Drosophila melanogaster: one gene and its partner. The protein of the gene in region 1 interacts with the protein of each later gene in a pairwise test. Each region holds a gene or a part of one and is shown in the gene's direction. Other genes may lie near its edges.

Region 1 (3,926 bases):
GACTGGAAGCCGCAGGCCTTGCCGAACTGCACATCCTGCACCAGTGTGTCCCCGATGAAGATGCAGCGCTTGCAATCACGAATCTCGAACATTTCGCCAAACATTTCGCCCAAAATGGGAGACGGCTTGCCCAGAAACGTGGCCTCGCGTTGCGTGTAGCGTTTAACGTGCTCCAGGAAGTCAAAGAACCCGGCCACATTGAGATTCTCCGCCAGTGGCATGATGACATCGCTGCCGCCGGCTATCAACTGGCAGTCGTCATTCTCCTGAAGGTGCCTAATGGCCTTCGCCAGCTCCACGTACGAGAGGTCCAAGTGGATGTCGAATAGCACAGCGCCCACGGGCTTTTCAATGGCCAGGTGATCCACCAGCGACGCGGCCGTCAGGTGCTCCTTGACTTGCTGAAGGAGAATGATATGAAATTTAATAGTCACACGGAAGCTCTTGAACTAAATATATTGTATATATATATTTATAAGTAATAACCTTCCCCTTACCAGCGATTCAAACTCGATGTTGTGCTTACGTAACGTTTCGTTCGCTTCGAGGGACATGAGGGAGTATACCCGCTCCCCCGGCTTGTGCTTCTTCAGGTACCGGACAATGGTCTTCACCGGATGAACGATGTCGTCCTCCTGGACGTTCTTGGCGCCGATGTGGCGAAACTTCTCCATGTAATCCTCCTCGGACCGGAAGCTGTTGTTCGACACGAACTTGATCTGCTTGCCGGCCGCTTTCAAGGCATTGACGGCGGCTCCCGTGTTGGGAATCCAGCCCACCAGGAGCCAGACGACGCCATCGCAGTCGCTGATCACCAAATCGAAGGAATCGATGAACTGCCGCTGCTCCTCGAGGCTGAGCTTCAAAATGTGTCGTGGTGGCGACATGGTAATGTTGGTTTTTTGGCTTACAGGAACGAATTGGATGCTGGTTGCGCGCGCACGGAAATTCCACAGCCGACTAACCGCCTTTGCCGGCATTTAACCTTCAATGTCAACGCATTGACATTGTTCCCCCGGTTCCTCGAACCCGAACCCAACCACCCCTCGCCCATACAACCCTATGCCTACGTACATATGTGCTAAGTATCTTTTATTACACGATTTAGCGAACCCGAGCGGAGTGGCTCGTCCGATAAGATTCCGTATGTAAATATAAGATCTTCTGTGTGGAACGCGGCATGAAAGACTCGTGCGATTTGTTGTCTATTTCACATTCCCATCTGCCGGACAGAGCGGATAGCAGTCCGGAAAATACATACATACATATGTATCTCATTTGCTTCCTAGTTCGGATTTACAATCAAGCGTACGCGTGATTATACCAAGTTTATCTTAAGGAACAACTTATAAAATGAGTCTGCTGCATTCGTCAAATTTTGGTTATTCATGCTTTTGACTGTCATTTGAATTTACCGGATATAATTTAGAACCATATAGATTATCGAACTAGTTCCACTGCCAAATGTGACTGAAATATATTGGTCTCGAAATAATTGACAGCCTTATTATTGAATTCAATTCTATGCAATCAAAGCGAAACCACAAACCCAAAATGGCTGTAAAGAAAAATTTAATTAAATTTCAAAGGCTTTTGGCATGCTATAAATATTATATGTATTTTGCGATTCACATGCTTCCTTTTCTTCCTTTCAATTGCATTTCTTACAAATCCTCTGCGATACACGTGATTGAAGGCGATTGACATACATACATATGTATGTATGTAAGTATTGATCGGTGGTGCATCGGCCTTTTGTTGCTGCTGTTGTTCGCTCAAGCTTATAACAGGCAGGCACAAACGTGTACAGTGAACACTCGAGGAAACATGTATGAGCACGCTTTCCTCAGTTCGAAAAGCAAAGGTACAGTTGACGCATGGAGAAACTAATAAGTATGATGACAATTGCGAAAGTTCAGCAGCGTAGACAACAGAATGCCTGTCGCCCTACGGAGGTCCCACTGTGCTGGGCCGTAGACCCTGGCCACACATGTCAACACCTTGACATTGATGGCTGCGGCATTTGGCCAACGGAAGCGGAGAGGGGGAAATGGAAAAGCCGCCGGAACGGAGGAAACCACAAATGGCCAATAATTCAAATTCAAATGCAACATTTCAATTGGCGGGGTCCGGAAGACGCTCGTGTCCATGTCCGCGTCCGCGGCGGTGAAGGCAAAAGAACTGGCCAACGGGGCGGGTACTTGATGTGCGAGCGCGTGTGAGTCGCGTCGCTTGGGGTTCGGCTGCGTTTTTGGTTTGGTTTGGTTTGGTTTGGTTGGTTTTGGCTGCGGCTTTTTGGTATATCGCATCACAAGTCCAAATCGATTGCCGGGCCAGCTAGTTTAGTTAGGCGTCTCCCTGATAAGATACGAAAGTACGAGTTGCGAACGCTTGCGAAGAATTCCGCCAGAAGAAAAGCACATTCGGCCACCTGAGCTTGGAGCAACTGTTCCCGGCGGTTATACAACCAGACGACAACTAGTCAAAAACTAAGGAAAATTGCCGAAAATGTCTACCCTGGCCAATGGTGGAAAGGAGGAGGATCTAAAAATTCTGGCTCAGCTGAAGAGCATCGAACAGATCAACGAGCAGCGCCGCATATTTCTCAACAGCACGATCAATGAGGAGGTGCCGGAGGCCACAAACGGATCGACGGTTCGGGAGGAGGACCTGGAGAAGAATCTGAAGGCCATAGACGAGCCGCAGTCTACGAAGATGCCCCCGGAGGAGGTGGCGAAGAAAACGCCTGATGAGGTCCCAGCCCAGGAGCAGCAGAAGGAACCCGAAAAGGTGGAGCCAGCCAAACCAGTGCCCCCCAACACGCTCACCCTGAACGTGAAATACGCCACGCTGCCAAGTCCGAATGTGGTGACCCTGCGATCCCCACTTTCGCCGCCCCCTAAGCCGCCAATGCTGGGCCGCACCCGCAGTACAGGTCCCGCCGATGGCAAGGGTCCAGCGAGCAATGGAGCTCTCTCGCCGGACAGCTCCATAATCCGTCAGAGCTTTCCCGAAGGCGTCATCACGCCCAGCAAGCCGGAAAAGAGCCCTGCCACGCCCAGCGAGGAAGGCCCGCCGACCGTCTCCGCCCGCCACTACGAGGGACTGATCGAGGAGCTGAGGTGTCCCGGCTGTGCCGGCGCCATGAAGGCGCCCATCCTTCTGTGCAAGAGTGGCCACAGTGTCTGTGAACAGTGCACCCGCATTTTGCTCATGTGCCCGCTCTGCAAGGTAAAAATTGACGTCAGCTCGCCAAAAGTGTTGTTCGGTTATCAATATCATATTGCCCCAATGTGCGCTCCTTATCTAGTGACGTGCAAATATACATTGGTATAGACTAAGGAAAAGCTACTCGCAGATTGCCATCATCGACAGGCGCAGGACAGAATGATCTCCGGTGGAGATTAGTTTATTACCCAGCCGAGGGTGTCTAATCAATTTTCAAGTGCAGCCCCACTATCTGCACTACAAGTGTGACTATAAAAAATAAGCCTTGTCTTGCACTAGGAAATGTGTGGTGCCACCAGTTCACTCTTCTAGGGCATATTTATTAGTGCCATCTTCTAAATATCCAACCGAATCTGAAATCTGCAAGAAGGAAGTCGATATTAACGTTTGCTCGGACTTTTCCATAGATAAACTTGTATGCTCGCTAACCAATGGACAAAATAAGTACATCGAAAAGCCCGTGTCATACTATCACTATGATAAGTATGATAAAGTGTATAGTTTCTTCATCATCAAGTTCTTTCCATCAATACTAGGAAATGGGGCATATGATATGGGTAACACACATCACATTCGAACTTGCACACTAAATTGTATGCCAATCCCGATGTCAATGCAAATAACTTTATGTTTCAGGAACCCTTCACCAACTCCCGATCGCTGACCGTGGAGGCGCTGTGCGCCAAGGCGCACTTCCG
Region 2 (3,926 bases), on another chromosome or scaffold:
CGATAGCTCGAAATTCGAGCAACTTGAACGCCTGTTCCAGATCAACAATGATCTGTTGAAGGCTATCGGAGTGTCGCACCCGAAACTGGAGCAAATCTTCACCATCGCTTTTAAGCGTGGCTTCTTTTCAAAGCTGACGGGCGCCGGCGCAGGTGGCTATGTCATCGTTCTGCTTCCAGAGAACTACGAGTGCAACGAGGTCTACTGGAAGCTTAAAGAGGAGCTCGAATCGGCGGGTTTTGGTGTTCATGTTACGACTGCCGGCGGCGAGGGATTGCGCGTTAGTTCGCTGGATGACTGATGCGGTTTCGTTTTGTATTGCTATTGTATGTATTCGTGGTTTTGTTATAAATTAAAGAATAAAGATTTATACATGTATTTTGTACGGCAATCTGTTTGTTTATCGTTGACTTCTGTCCCGAGATTTGTAGACAATTCCACGATTCTTCATGTCACGTAAGGTAGACTGCGGCAGTGTTCCGGATACAGAAATGGCATAGATACCACGAGTAAAGCGGGCTAAAGGAAAATGATTTCAAATATATCAGTAATACCCTTTTGGAACGGAAGTCATTCAGGCCTTACACAATCTTTGCCACTTGGCCACCCAGGAGTCGGTGGGCGTAGTTAGGGCAATAATTCCGTCAAAGTTGTTGCTAGTGTGATCATAGACATTGTCCTTGTTGTTTTTCATTCGCAGGAACTCCTCGCAGTTTTCACAGCCATCAGTCTCAAATTGATCAAAACTCTGCGGGCGATAAATGATTTCAATGAAAATGTGTGTCGAGTCTGGGCAAAATATAACCCACCTTCACTAGGGAGCAAACGAGGCAGGCGCGAAGTCCTCGCAGATCCTTGGGTATCGCGTCAAAGGCCATATTTACTTATCAATTATGGGTTTAAAACTAAAAATACAAAATCCGTGCAAAACCAAGCCACGACACTGACAGAGTGACCGTACTCTAAAATTTTCTTGAATCTACGATATCGATGGGCGCCGGTTACACCCGACAAAAATTGTCAAAAGAATTTTCACGAAGCTAACCTTTGTATTAAAACGTGTTTTAAAAGTGTATATTTCCTTAGCAGCTATATGAATTTTAAACAAAGTTCAACGGCTTGGGCAGTGGCTTATTCTTTTTTTGCTTGTAATAATCCTCTAGAATTTCAAAATAGATCAAAACCAGTCCCAAGTGAATTCCTGGATTGGCTCCTGAAAAGTTAAATGCAATTTTGTAATCCTGAATTGGAAGTATGGGCAGAGAGACCTCGTCCAAACGAAAGTTACGCGCAATCAAATGACCCTTTAGAAACATATATATATATTCAATATATTGAGAAAATTTAACTATATTATATATACATAAGCTTACCCTATATGGGCAACTGTGGTTTACATTAGTCCACTCCGTCAAATGGCTAATAGCGTATTTTTGCAGAAAATTACTTTGCGTTTTATTCTTTAACAATTGGCAAACATCAAATTTAAATTTAACGGCGAAGGGCTTGTACAAATTCGAAGAATCCTTGTAGAACACTTCTACTGACATCTGAAAATTTCCATTATTATTGTAATACTTAAATTAATGAAACTTCTCACCTTAATATCAGTTAATGCCTCCTTTATGTCACCATCCATGTTCAATACCGATCGAGTCCAGTTTACAGGCTTCAGAATGCAAGAGACATTGCTGAAATATGCTCCGTTTGCTATGCACTCAGTTTTTCTGATTTTGAAAAAGTATCCATTGGAATAGAACTAAAAACTAAAATATTTTTGAAATCTGTATTTATACGGGCTTATTTACGCACAATGGTATTTGGAAGGCATAATAAAACGCCCAAGTACACACAAGAGACAGCAAGCCACTTTGCCATCATTGAAACAAATAAACATAACTTCAACCGAACAACTTAAAGCATACGCTAACTACATTTTAATAACTTTGTACACTTGATAAAAAGGTATCACGGTTGAATGAACAAACAGCTTTCAAATAAATAATCGATACGCCACGATACACTTATCTACACTTTAGCCAAAAAATCGGCTTAACGTAAATTAATTTTTGTTAAAAATGCACTATCGCTCGGAAGTAAAAAAGCGTAAAATGAAAAGGTCGATTGCTTGTTTTGATTTTACAGCCTAATTCTATTGGTTATTTACACAATGCTAATTGTTGTTAAATGCTAACCGTTTGCCAATGTAATGTAAGACAATCGGTTAATCGACCCCCTGATGAGATAACGGCTACGCCCCTGGCGATCAGCTGTTACGCGGTTGTTTTGGGTGTGGAACAGGGAAGCACAAAAGTACGGACAAGAAAGAACGGTAATAACAGCTACAGCCGAGCTCCGTTAATCTTTTACCGCTAGGATCGTTGGAATAGAACTCGCCATGTCCTCCTCCTCGACATCCAGTCCCACGGACAACAGCTCGCACGGATCGGTGGCGCTGTCCTCGGCCCTTAATCCATCTTTAAACCCGGTCTCCGGCACGAATACCAGCAGCCAAAAGCCTTTTTCGCTTTCCGAGCGCCTGAACTTTGAGATCTACCGTTACTCCAGCTACTCGCCAAACTATCTGCCTGAGTAAGTACTAATCTGGAAAAGAAAATGGATGCCTCGCATATCGTAATTGTTAAACGGGCATCTTTTTAATTTCCATTCGTAGAAACGTCCTGGTGGACTGTCCCAACGACCAAACATCTAGGTGGTCCGCCTACACGAACAGCCCGCCGCAATTTCTCACCTTGAAGCTGCGCCGTCCCGCCATTGTGAAGAAAATCAAGTTTGGCAAGTTCGAGAAATCGCATGTGTGCAACATCAAGAAATTCCGTGTTTACGGCGGCTTGGACGATGAGCACATGGTTTTGCTGCTGGAGGGGTAGGTCATTCAGCTGGTTTTCTGAAATGCATTATTTAATATAACTCAAATATTTTTCCCAGTGGCCTAAAAAACGATAACGTGCCAGAAGTATTCAACCTGCGCTGCCTGACCGAAGACGGTTCGGAAAATCTACCAATACTGTACCTCAAGATCGTGCCCCTGCTCTCCTGGGGTCCGTCGTTCAACTTCAGCATTTGGTACGTGGAGCTGCACGGCCAGGACGACCCCATGTACACCAGTGCTCGCATGAAGAACTACAACTCGCTGCGCGAGGTGGAGATCATCAAGCTGTGTCTGAAGCACTTCCGCCAGCAGGGCTATTTGAGTGCCTTTGGGGCGCTCCAGGAGCAAACGAATGTGCAACTGGAGCACCCGCTGATCAGCGAACTGCATAAGTGTCTGGTAAGAAAGGAATCCCCAGCATAGATCATGCTATAAACCTTTGAAGTTTGGTATTAAATTCATAAAAAAAACTGGTTCTTAGGTTTTGCAGGGCGACTTTGAGAAGGCTGAACGCTTTATAGTCGAGTGCATAGACGAGGGCCTAATGGATGAGTATTTACATAAGCAGGACTACAAGCACAGCTGGCATATGAAGCATACCGAAAGCGACATAAAGCCTGGTAACTATTTTTGCCTCCAAATAGCAATCATTAGCAGTTAACTTCCTCTATTTCAGGCAATCGCGGTGGTCACCAGCTGGTGGTGGATGCCAAAAGGAGACTTATTTATCTCTACGGCGGCTGGGATGGCTACCAGGACTTGAGCGACCTTTGGGTATTCAATATCGAAGATGATCAGTGGACGCTACTGTGCGAAAGGTCAGAGCTTTCCAATGGACCCACACCGCGATCCTGTCACAAAATGGTCTTTGATCCCATCAGCGAAAATGTATTCATGCTTGGTCGTTACCTGGATAACTCGATACGAACTTCGGATTATATAAAGAGCGACTTTTACCTTTACGATACGAGGGCTGGCAACTGGATGCAAATATGCGATGACACCAGCCAAGTGGGTGGTCCTCAGCTTGTCT

The links.
Region 2: the proteins of CG2681 (region 1) and muskelin interact in a two-hybrid assay, tested with the Drosophila melanogaster proteins (one large-scale study listed by BioGRID).

What each region holds. Positions count from the first base shown.
Region 1 is NC_004354.4:2,706,456-2,710,381, forward strand, and holds the start of CG2681 (uncharacterized protein), read left to right. Parts: upstream 1-2,228; 5' UTR 2,229-2,508; coding exon 2,509-3,231; intron 3,232-3,864; coding exon 3,865-3,926. Other genes in the region: CG2680 (uncharacterized protein), read right to left, coding at 1-401, 498-887.
Region 2 is NT_033778.4:12,630,629-12,634,554, reverse strand, and holds the start of muskelin (muskelin), read left to right. Parts: upstream 1-2,273; 5' UTR 2,274-2,398; coding exon 2,399-2,592; intron 2,593-2,674; coding exon 2,675-2,887; intron 2,888-2,949; coding exon 2,950-3,292; intron 3,293-3,374; coding exon 3,375-3,513; intron 3,514-3,569; coding exon 3,570-3,926. Other genes in the region: Mvk (mevalonate kinase), read left to right, coding at 1-301; spt4, read right to left, coding at 401-519, 586-748, 810-878; CG33792 (uncharacterized protein), read right to left, coding at 1,101-1,550, 1,601-1,759, 1,813-1,881.